3 linked regions of the Ovis aries genome follow. The protein of the gene in region 2 interacts with the protein of the main gene of each other region in a pairwise test. Links are inferred from orthologs where the notes say so. Each region holds a gene or a part of one and is shown on either strand. Other genes may lie near its edges. The genes, in order: NPDC1, keratin-associated protein 10-12-like and NAXD.

What was found.
Region 1: the proteins of keratin-associated protein 10-12-like (region 2) and NPDC1 interact in binary tests that used the Homo sapiens proteins (3 or more experiments, as listed by UniProt). The two-hybrid records come from large-scale screens. The link is inferred for Ovis aries from reciprocal best matches to the Homo sapiens genes KRTAP10-7 and NPDC1.
Region 3: the proteins of keratin-associated protein 10-12-like (region 2) and NAXD interact in binary tests that used the Homo sapiens proteins (3 or more experiments, as listed by UniProt). The two-hybrid records come from large-scale screens. The link is inferred for Ovis aries from reciprocal best matches to the Homo sapiens genes KRTAP10-7 and NAXD.

What each region holds. Positions count from the first base shown.
Region 1 is NC_056056.1:874,898-878,639, forward strand, and holds the start of NPDC1 (neural proliferation differentiation and control protein 1), read left to right. Parts: upstream 1-908; 5' UTR 909-1,086; coding exon 1,087-1,198; intron 1,199-3,742. UniProt on the Homo sapiens protein: Suppresses oncogenic transformation in neural and non-neural cells and down-regulates neural cell proliferation. Might be involved in transcriptional regulation.
Region 2 is NC_056054.1:262,544,408-262,548,149, forward strand, and holds keratin-associated protein 10-12-like, read left to right. Parts: upstream 1-1,384; 5' UTR 1,385-1,534; coding exon 1,535-2,434; 3' UTR 2,435-3,440; downstream 3,441-3,742. UniProt on the Homo sapiens protein: In the hair cortex, hair keratin intermediate filaments are embedded in an interfilamentous matrix, consisting of hair keratin-associated proteins (KRTAP), which are essential for the formation of a rigid and resistant hair shaft through their extensive disulfide bond cross-linking with abundant cysteine residues of hair keratins.
Region 3 is NC_056063.1:84,597,186-84,600,827, forward strand, and holds part of NAXD (ATP-dependent (S)-NAD(P)H-hydrate dehydratase), read left to right. Parts: intron 1-1,584; coding exon 1,585-1,635; intron 1,636-1,715; coding exon 1,716-1,820; intron 1,821-2,575; coding exon 2,576-2,696; intron 2,697-3,642. UniProt on the Homo sapiens protein: Catalyzes the dehydration of the S-form of NAD(P)HX at the expense of ATP, which is converted to ADP.

The sequences.
Region 1 (3,742 bases), on a different chromosome or scaffold from region 2:
CCCCTCCCCAGGCCCTGTCTCCCTGCATCTCTCCGCCCCCCTCCCCCACTTTCTGGGAAGTGAGCTCTGACACTATTTCTGTCTAATCAGTGCCTCGTAGGGGACGGGGGCGGTCCTTGTTCTGCTCACACACACACACTGCACACACCGTCCCCCCCCCACGCACACCCCACACACACGTCTGCCAGATTCTGAGCATTTCACAAACCTGCGGGCCACCAGCCCCGTCTTCGGAGTTCCGAGACTCAAAGGGCCGAGAGGCGCACCGAAGGCGGAGGGGGCGGGGGAAAGCCGCCCTGATCTCTCAGGGACGGGAGCCGGGGAGGTTTCCAGGTGGGACGCGGAGGCTGCGCTCCCAGGAGGCAGCAGGTGGGGTTATGGGGTGCACCCCAGTGCGTGCCGTCGTGGGCATCCCGGAGCTGAAAGGCTGTCACCCGGGCACCGTGGACAGCTCCCAGCTGGCTTTCAGCAGCAGTCCCAGGTCACTCTTGCCCCCTGGTGGCCTCACCGGGAGCGGCCGGGCTAGTCCTGCGCGCCTGTGTGTGCCTTTGCCGCGTGTCTGAATGCCCGGTCGGCCTCCGGGCACACCTGCGCGTCCCCGTGCGCCTGCCCTGCTGTGTGCGCCTAATGTACCTCCAGACCCAGGCGGATCCTCCGCTCCAGGAGGGTGGCTGGGGGTGGGTGGGAGTTATCAGCCCCAGAGGGACCGGCTGGGGAAGGGCATCCCAGGGAACCCAGCCCCAACCAGTGCCCCGCCTGGAGAAGGTCCAGGTTGCAGAGGTCGCAGAGGCTGAGGCGCCCCGAGGGCGGGCTGCGGGGTCGAGGGGGGGCTCGGAATCGGCGGGGCGCGCAGCCTGACGGCGGGCCCGCCTCCGCAGGTGGGGCGCGCAGGCGCACTCCGGCTCGGCGCCCTCGCCGCCCCCGCCCGGCTCGTCTGCCGCAGCGTCAGCGCCGCCGCCGCCTGCTCCCCTCGGCGCCCGCCTCCGGCCTCCGCCCCCCGCTCGCCGCCGCGTCCCCTGGCGCCCCGACCCCGCGCCCAGCCCCGGGCCGCGCGGTGCCATGCTGCCCCGGCCGCGGCGCTGAAGGATGGCGACGCCCGTGCCCCCGCCCTCCCCGCGGCACCTGCGGCTCCTGCGGCTGCTGCTGTCCGGCCTCGTCCTCGGCGCGGCCTTGCGCGGTGCGGCCGGCGGCCGCTCCGGTGAGCGACGCGCGGGGCGGCCGGCTGCGGGGCGCCCCGGGCTCGGGGGTCGCCGGGTGGGGCTTGGGCCGCGCGGCGCCGCGCTCACCCTCCCCGCCGCCGCCGCCGCCCCGGTCTGGGCCCGCAGGCCTCGCAGGCCCCGCCGGCCCAGCCCGCGAGCCGCCGCGCCGGCCTCGCCTGGCCCTGCCCGGGTAAACAGTCCCCGGCGGGAAGGGCGCGGCGCCGCACCGCCGAGGGACTCCTCTGGACGGGGCTTCTCCGGGCTCCTTGGCGGCGAACCTGAAGTCCATCCGCTTCTTGTCTTTGTCTGGGTTCGTGAGCCGGTGGGTCGGTGTCGCAGGCGGGCTGTCTCGGAGCGGGCCGCGGCCTGGAGCCGGTCCCACGGGCGTTTCTCTGTGCGCGCGGCTCCGGTGCCTGCTGGCCTTCTTGCTGGTGGCCGTCCTGGAGTTGGAGCCGCAGTGCTGGTCTGTCCCTGCCGCTCCGGCGGTGGACACGCACCTTGCTTTGCTGCCGTGGTGGCGTCTGAAGTTTCCCGGGCGTCTGACAGCTCGTCTCAGGCTTCGGGGCTTGCTCTGGCCTCGCTGAGGGCAGAAGGAGCTCACAGTCTCTGCTTCCTCACTCACCCGCTGCCCTGCGGGGCCCCTCCGTGCTGTCTTCTGTGCCTGGCAGTGGGGGCACCCCCCAGGGCAGATCATGCAGAGAGGGATGAGCCCAGGGTCCTGGGAGACCCTGCCAGCTTCCCAGATGGCACTGAGGCTCCAGACTTCTGCAGGAACCCAGAATCCTCACACCCTCTCAGGTGGCAGGACCAGGGGGCTAGGTACCCAGGCCCCATTTTTCCTAGCAGCTCCGCAGGAGAGGTGCTGCCTTTAGCCCACTTCACAGATGAGAAAACTGAGGCACAGCAGTGCCGTGACCAGTATGCAATGAGGCTGGGACGCTAACCTGTGAGGTGTGGTCTGCATGTAGCCTCAAGAGGCCAGAGCAGGGCAGGCTTCTTCCTGGGCACAGCACCCCTGGTCAGGGGCCTGGCCTGACCAGAGGAGGCTCCCAAGGAGGCCTGAGGGTCAGGGCATGGCTGGCCCGGGATGGTGGAGGCTGCCTGCTGGCGGCCTGGCTCCAGGGCGTACAGCGTGGGGCCCCCGAAGAGACCGGGAGGCCAGGTGCCGCCCCAGCGGCTCGTCAGCTCTGTGCTCGCCCAGATGCGGGGCAGCGTGCCAGCCGCTGTCCAGGTGTCGTTGTCCTGGGGCCTCGTTTGTGCTCTGATTAGAGCGGGGACCTTGCTAGGGTCAGTGCGGAGCACCCGCGTCTTCCCGGGGCGGGGGGCAGGGAGCGAAGGGAGACCCCTGGAGCCCAGAACCGAGAGCTGGCTCTGGACCGCAGGCCCCTTGCCCTGGTCAGTGTACCCCAAGTTCTCAGCACCAGGGGCTGGGACTGCCTGGCTCCCCGGGGGGGCCAGCTGTGGGTGGGGTCTAGACAGACCTGCTGGCCCAGGCTTAATGTTTAACCAGCCCCAGCCCTGGGTCCACCGCGCTGACACTGGTGCCTGCCGACCCAACTTGTGCAGGAGGTGGGATCCCTGGGAGGGGAGCCCCAGCCCACTTGTCCACCTGCTGTAGAAGCTGCTGGAACTTCCTCCAAGGGATACCTACAGCCAACGGGCTGTGAGTATCATTACCAGGGAAACCAAGTCAGGCCAGCTGAAGTCTGGAGGACAGCCTGGGATGTCACCCTCCTGCGGGGACGGGGCTGGGCCAAGGGGACCAGTCCTGGTCGTCCAAGATACCCCGAGCCCCACCTCCCCAGGCATGATTGACGGTCCTGTTGGGTCTCTCTGTGGCTCCCCAGGCTCTGCTGCTGAGTGGCTGGGGCCAGTGTCCCAGGCCTTGAGACTCCGCAGCGTGGCGGTGCCTCGCCTTCTGCATCCAGAGAGGAGACTGAGGCTGAGAGGGCCACCGCCCTCCAGTGCCCAGCATCAGGGTGGGAGCCATGGCTGTGTGCGCAGGACGCTGAGGTCTGGGCCCCCAATTAGAAGTGGCCTCCCTGCTGCAGTCCCAGGCCCCTGTCCCTGGCAGCGGCAGCTACAAGAGTGCCCCGCCTGGTTTCTGTTTGCGAGGCCAGTGAGCCCGGCAGCCCCATCCCAGGTTTCCCCACCCCAGCAGCCCCTCTCTGTGACAGGACGGGCTGGAAGGTAGATGTGGGGGGGAGCGACTGGATCTGGGCCGTCTCCCAGCCGGGCTTTCTAGGGCTGTAGGATGTCGTGATGGGCTTTGAGTGGCGGCTTTGAGTGGCAGCCCTGAGGGAATGGGACAGACCAGGGCCCCACCCTCTGGGGCTCCCAGGCTGGGTGAGAGGCTTGCTCTGGGTCAGCTTGAGGCCAGAAGCAGGGCTTGGAGGGCTACCCGATCCTGCCTAGGAGAGCTCTGCACTCTCAGGACAAGGGACAGTTTCCGTGCAGAAAGCTGGCCTGGGCCTGGGCACTGGACTCTGGGGAATGGGTGGGGCGAGGGAGTTCCCATAAGTGTCAGGCCTGTTTATCTTCCT
Region 2 (3,742 bases):
GAATGTTATCCTGTCATAAAAAAGGATCAAGCACACATGTATGCCACATGTATGCCAAGTTGGAGTCAGACACAAAAGGCCACCTATTGTGTGATTCCTTTTACATGAAATGAGCAGAACAGCCAAAGTCATAGAGACAGAAAGCAGAGCGGTGCTTGACAGGGACTGGGGAGGGTCTACCCAATACTACAAGATTTCCTTTTGGGAATGTCCCGGGACTAGATAGTGGTCATAGTTGTACAGTGTTGTGACTGTACTAAATGTCCCTGAATCGAACACTTTAAAATGGTTAATTTTATATTATTTGTTACATGTAATAAAAAAAAAAACGTACCTGTTAAGGATTTCTAACAGGGAGGCCCCTAGAGCTTCCCTGGTGATCCAGTGGTTAACAATCCACTTGCCAATGCAAAGAACATAAATTTAATCCCTGGTCTGGGACTAGCCCACGTGCCACAACTACCAAAGCCCATATGTCCTAAAGCCAGTGCTCCTCAATAAGATAAGCCATTGCCAAGAGCAGCCTGCCCACTGCAACAAAAAGTAAGCCCCGTTTGCCACAACCAGGGAAAGCCTACATGTAGCAACAAAGACCCAGCTCAGCGAAAAGTTAACTAATTTTTAAAGAAGAGTGAGGACCTCAGACTGTGCAGCACTGGGTGTTACCAGTGTTGTAAATCTTGGCTGATCTTGCAGGTGGGATATTTGTGTTTTAATTTAGAGCCTTTTAATTATCAGTGATATCCAGTAGCTTTTCAAATGTTGATTGGAAATTTGAATGGACTGTGTGCTTGTGTTTGATTCTATTGTATCATATCCTGCTTTAGTTGTAAAGGCTTTCAACTTTTACATTGCAAATATTTTCTAGCAGTTCAATATCTTCACTTTATATGCCAAAAATATTTCTTTTGGGTTCTGATTGAAGTTACATCAGGGATGGATTGATCCAGAAAGAGTGGTAATTCAGTCTATAGCTCTGAGTTTCTTGCTTACACCTCTCGGGTCCCAGTGGATATATGTTGTGTGTGTTCTTTGGTCAAGTTTTCTATTTCGCTCGCAACTTATCTTCTTAGTAATGCTCTTAGGTATAGTTTGGGCTGCGGTAAAGCTAGGCATCTTTCCCTATGTATTCTCACACTGTCAAGGCTGGCGTGAAGTGGGAGCGGCTGCAGTGGCTGGGAACTTGTCTCACGCTCAGCCCCTCCCTCCGTGAACGTGACTTAAGAACCCTGGCAGGCATTCAGCAGAAACTTGCGTCTTGCATCCTCCACAAGTTTTCTGGAGCCAAACAAAGAACAGATGGGAAAACAGACTCTTGCAACGTACTCACATGTTTAATGAGTAAAAGCTAATTGTAGAAAACACAGCAGCCCTAATGAGGGTCAGCTCCAAACAGCAACAAGGAAGGGAGAGCGTGGGAGCCTCCGACCAGGGCCACGCGCATACTCAGGGCGGGTATAAAAGCAGACACCCTCAGCACTTCACTCACACACTCACACACACTTACACCTCCTCCAGCCGTACCACCTCCACCATGGCCTTCTCTAACCTGTCTGCTTGCTCCAGCGACCTGAGCTACAGCAGCCGGATCTGCCTGCCTGGATCCTGTGACTCCTGCACCGGCTCCTCCTGGCAGGTGGATGACTGTCCAGAGAGCTGCTGCGAGCCCCCCTGCTGTGCCCCCAGCTGCTGCACCTCGGCCCCCCGCCTGACCCTCCTCTGCGCCCCAGTGAGTTGTGAGTCCAGCCCCTGCTGCCAGCCAGCCTGCAGCAGCTCCTGCCCAGCCTCATGTGGCCAGCAGTCCAGCTGCCAGTCCTCCTGCTGCACCTCCTCCCGCTGCCAGCAGGCCTGCTGTGAACCTGTCTGCTGTGAGCCTGTCTGCTGCAGGCCCGTCTGCTGCAGGCCTGTCTGCTGTACACCTGTCTGCTGCACACCTGTCTGCTGCAGGCCTGTCTGCTGTGAGGCCTCCCCCTTCTCAACCTCCTCATGTTGCCAGCAGTCCAGCTGCCAGCCCTCCTGCTGCACCTCCTCCTGCTGCCAGCAGGCCTGCTGTGAGCCCGTCTGCTGCAGGCCTGTCTGCTGTACACCTGTTTGCTGCAGGCCCGTGTGCTGTGAGACCTCCCCCTGCTCAGCCCCCTCATCCTGCTGCAGACCCTCCTCTTCCGTGTCCCTCCTCTGCCGTCCTGTGTGCCGCCCCGTGTGCGGCCCCACCTGCTGTGTGCCCGCCTCCTCTTGCAAGCCCAGCTTCTGCCGCCCGGCCTCCTCTGTGTCCCTCCTCTGCCGCCCTGCGTGCCGCCTCGCCTGCTGTGTGCCCACCTCCTCCTGCCAGCCAAGCTGCTGCCGCCCAGCCTCCTCTGTGTCCCTGCTCTGCCGGCCTGCATGCTCCCGCCTGGCCTGCGGCATCCCCACCTCAGCCCCGGAGCTCTGCTGCTGACCGGCCAATCACCCGCCCTCCACAAGCTGCTGTCTCTCTCCCAAGCTCCAGGAGCCCCTCTGCTGGCGCCAGGACCTCCCCTCTCCCAAAGTTGGACACGCAGCTGCTGCCCAGAGAGGATTCGAACTTGGCAGGCATCTCAGAAAGCCCTTGACAGGGTGGACTGTGGGGCCCCAGGAGCCTCCTCTGCAGGACAGGCTGCTTGAATCCCATATGACAAACATCAGCTGCTCTAATGAATAAAGCGTTTGTGTCAGGAAATATGGACCCATGTCTGTTTTGGCCTCCTCCCTTGGGCCCCCTCAGCCCCTCCAAATATGGCCTGTAGGTGCTCTGCTGGCAGAAGCCAGGCAGTAAAGACACATTCTCCCATCCGAGTTCAAAGCAGCTGAGAAACAACAGGATCTGAAAGCTGGTGCCATTCACACATTCTATGTCCCTTCCTACCCCAGGCTCACTCTCCCTGCAGTGGACGGCCCTTCAAGGCTGACATGGAGGCGGGTGTGGGTGCAGAAGGCTCAGATCCTGAGTGGGCCCTGGGTTCCTCCCCCTGCCCATGCAGGTTGAGGGTGACTTGGGGAGCAGCAGAAACCCTCCTGGGTCTGGATCGGAGAGTCCAGGGTAAGTGCTGTTGGAGAGACGTGCCAACACTGAGGAGGAGATTCTGGGGGCTCCAAGGGGGTGCAGTGTCAATTTAGACATCACTCATTCTACTCAAGGTTTCAAAGCCTGACCGAGGAGGGACAGAACAAAAGAGACGCCTTGTGAACAAACCCTCAGGACAGTAGGGGAGAAAGAGCCTGCAGTCTTAGTGGACATTAGCAATAGAGGAAGTGGGCACCAGTCAGCACCAGTCAACTACTTATCCCCCACCAGAAACAGACTGATGAGGCCCATAGGAGCAGGAGAACAGTGGTGGCTGGGGCAAGAGGGACCAGGAACTGAAGGCATCTCCCCAGGGGATACTATCCCCACCCCAGCTCAGTTCCATCCAGGAAAGAGGGAATGGAGCAAAACCCTAAGAGGACTGGTAAACAGGTGTCCTGCCTCAACTCGTAAATCTCTTTCCTGAGTTTACTCAAGACAAGTACCATTTTTCTCCTTTGCCTTTAGCTTCTTTTCTTTTCTCACCTATTTGTAAAGTCTCCTCAGATAACCATTTTTGCCTTTTTGCATTTCTTTTGGTTGGGGATGGTCTTAATCACTGTCAAGTGATCAAAGGCAAAGGAGAAAAGGAAAGATATACCCATTTGGATGCAGAGTTCCAAAGAATAAAAGGAGAGATAAGAAAGCCTTCCTCAGTGATCA
Region 3 (3,642 bases), on a different chromosome or scaffold from region 2:
AGTGAGAACTTGAATGTCCTCGGGGCCCCTTCCACGACTCGGCGTTCCAGCCTTTGGAGTGGAAGCTGGGGCCAGAGACGCCGCGTCCTCAAGCCTGCGGCCTGTCGCTGAGCAGGGCCCGCGGCCGCCACAGGCGGGGCAGGGCTGCCCAGGACATGCGTCTGTGACGCTGGTGCCGACAGTCGGCCCAGTTACCGCACACGGTGTGGTCGGGGGCGCCCCTCCCGCAGCCTCTCAGCGCGTGTCCTGGAGCCACAGACCCGCTGCCGGCCCCCCAGGGACCGAGCTGCCGAGGGCGGCGACTGATGCCAGGGGGTGCTTGTTTACAGACGGTCCGTGTGGAGGGCCTGTCCTCACCCACCCAGATGGCGAGCACGCAAGCAAACTTTGACGTTATCTGCCTGGAATACCTTAATGTTTTCGTAGAACCGTCTTACAGACACATGGGCTGTGCTCAGTCAAGGAATACTGTATCCAGAAAACTAAAATAAAAGTGATTTTTATAGAGACGTGAAACCATAATCTGTATCAAGAGGGGTTGGGGATGAATTTAAGGTGATGAAAGGCGGGGTTCTCTGTGCTTCAAGTTCTTTGTTATTTTCAGAAATTCATAATAAAACGTTTAGTGTGTTTATCTTTTAAAAAAAAAAGCTACTCTGCAGCGTGAGTTAGAGATTGGGAGTGAGCCAGCATAGACCTGCTGGCATGTCTGTGGCCCCGACCGGGCCCCAGCTAGCAGGTGGGCTTGCCCTCTGCTCGCCCCCTCTCGGCTCCCTTGGGTGCTGCCCAATCATAGATGCTCAGTAGGTCTTTCCTGAGCGATTTCACTGTTGGCGTGATCTGTGCAACAGCCTGTCTGCACCTGGGCAGGACGGGTATGGGGCTCCTTTCTCGGCGGATGAGAATGTCATCCTGAAACTGATTGTGGTGATGGCTGCTTTCTGTACGCTTTCAGTGAATGGACTGAACGGCCTGTAGCAACCTCAGTAAATAAAGCGACCCCCTGCCGCGCGGCCACCTCAGGGAGGGAGGTAGTTTCTCCGGGATTCAGGTCCCTGCTTTTCCTTTCGGCGATTTTAGGAAGGTTTTCACAGGCCATAGCGCCCAGTCACTTAAAGGGCGCGGTTGCCGGGCTGGCGGTGTGTTCACGGAGTTCGCAGGCATCGCCACAGTCGGCTTTAGGACACTCGTGTCGAGCCTCGTTCACTGTTGACGGTCACGGTCACACTTAAAGACTCATGAAATGTGACGTACGAGAGGTGCGTAAAAACAGAAGAGCTGGGCGCTTGAGGCGTCAGGTTTCTGACCCCGAATCCCGAGGGTCCGCAACTGTTGGGAGTTTGGAGATGCTGGCTGGGGGTCGGCCTCCGTGGACTGGCCTGGGAGCCAGCACCAGTGCTGGTCCTGTGGCTCGCGTGTTCAGAGTTCAGGCTGGCCCTGCAGAGGGCTCTTCTCACTGTGTTTCGCACTTGCTTAATGAGTCCCGTGTGTGTGTTGATGGCCTGGTGTGGAGTCCGTCGGAACTGCTGTTTCAGCTTTCCTCAGGCAACGGGCTCAGTGCTTAGCTGCCTGCCTTTCTTGCAGGGCATTCTAGAAGCATCCAAGGCCAGGGGAGTCCCCGTGGTCATCGACGCAGTGAGTGTGGCCCCTGCCCTGCCCCCTCCTCACCGCAGCCCCCTCGGCCGCTCCTGAATGACCCGCGTCCTCGTCCGCAGGACGGGCTCTGGCTTATTGCCCAGCAGCCAGCCCTCATCCAGGGCTACCGGAAGGCGGTCCTCACCCCCAACCACGTGGAGTTCGGCAGACTGTCCGAGGCTGTGGTGAGTCAGCCAGGCACAGGCAGGTGACTGCATGCACTCCAGAGCATCCTCCGGTCAGCGTCCTTGACGGGGTGAAACCTGGGTGGTGGACTCGGGGGTCAGCCTGGCCTCCAGGCACCGCCCCCCCCCGGGCGATTGCTTCGTCCCTGCCCCGCATGCCCTCCTCTGAGAGGTGGGGTGGGACGGGGTCCACGTCATAGGGTTTTTGAGGACGAGATCAAACCGCACCACTGACCGCACAGCATGGGGCTAGGTGCTGCCTGCACGCCGCTGAGAGCCTGAGGGTCGGCCAGCCGGCCCTCGCTCCGCGCGCTTCCTCCACACCTGCCGCTCTGCCTCCGTGGACTCGGCCAGGCTGATCGTAGTTACTGTGGAAGAAAGCCCACATGTAAGGACCGAGCCATTCACACCGAAATTGTTGAAGGGTCAGCTGCGTCTGTCCACCCAGCGTCCTACGTGTTAGCCCATGTGCGTCTGCTCTTTATCCTTCAGAGCTGCGTCACTCGGGCAAACCTGCAGACTCCCTGCCATGGGCCGGGGCCCTGACTCCGCCAGGACCAGGTCGGGGCGGGCACCCTGCGGTGTTTCTGCCCCGAGGGCTGTGTTGCTGTCCGCCTGGAGCACGGATGGCCTGGGCCTCAGGGCCCGGCTCGTCTGGCTGTTGGCAGGTGCCAGGCAGGCCCCCAGACGAGCCGGACCCCGGGCAGACAGGCTCTCCCGTGTCCCATGAGGCCCATGTCTCTGGTCCTGTCTAGCTGGGGGCGCCCCTGGAGGGCGGGGACCGTCACGGAGCGGTGCTGAGACTCAGCCAGGCCCTGGGCAACGTCACCGTGGTGCAGAAGGGGGAGCAGGACGTGATCTCTGACGGCGAGCAGGGTGAGTGGGTGCAGACGCCACCCCGCATCTCAGCCAGTTGGCACAGCCACGCTGGGCACCAGCCCCAGGAGGACCGCTTGTCCGCAACCTCGGGAAGCCTGGCTTTGCCCTGTCGCTCGGTGTTCTGCACAGGGAGGTGGTCTTGGTGGGGCGTGCTGGCCCGGGCTGGCCCCGGCATGGCGGCGGATGCTCCTTCCCTGCTGTGTGCGACGGCCCACGGAGGGCCCCCCACAGCAGACGGACGCGGGCACTGAGTGCCTGCTGCTCGTTCAGTTCACAAGAGCGCCCAGAAAGGAGACGCCAGGGAGCAGCTGGTGGCGCGGGAGTCCCCGGGCACCAAGCACAGCCTTGGGGGCCGCCTGCCCGTGCCCTCAGCGGGGCTCCGGGCTCAGCGCGCGGCACCTCTGCTCCCTGCAGGGCCCTCCCGCTGGTACAGCCCCCCGGTGGCGCCAGGCCCAGCGGGCAGTGGCCAGACAGCTGGACACGCAGGGCTGCTGACCAGGTCATGGGAACCAGGGGCCAGAGAAGCACAGGCCTGGGCACGTGTGTGCACTCGCACGCACTCACGCCACACGCACGCACTCACGCCACGCACACGCACATGCGCACACACGCACTCACACGCCACACGCACACACACGCCACGCACATGCGCACACACGCACTCACATGCCACGCGCACGCACTCACACGCACTCACGCCACACGCACTCACACGCCACGCGCACGCACTCACACGCCACGCACGCACATGCGCACACACGCTGGACAGGAGACCCAGCGAGCGTTCTCCGAGGGACCCTGAGACCTGTGGGTTCTTCAGATGCTAGAAGGTGCTCTGATCCCTGACACAGTCAGAGGCACATCTGTTTCAGACATTTTCAAAGAAAAAGAAACTTCTCACTGTGCAGAAAAGTCCCAGCCGGGGTGCCACCAGCTCCGAGTC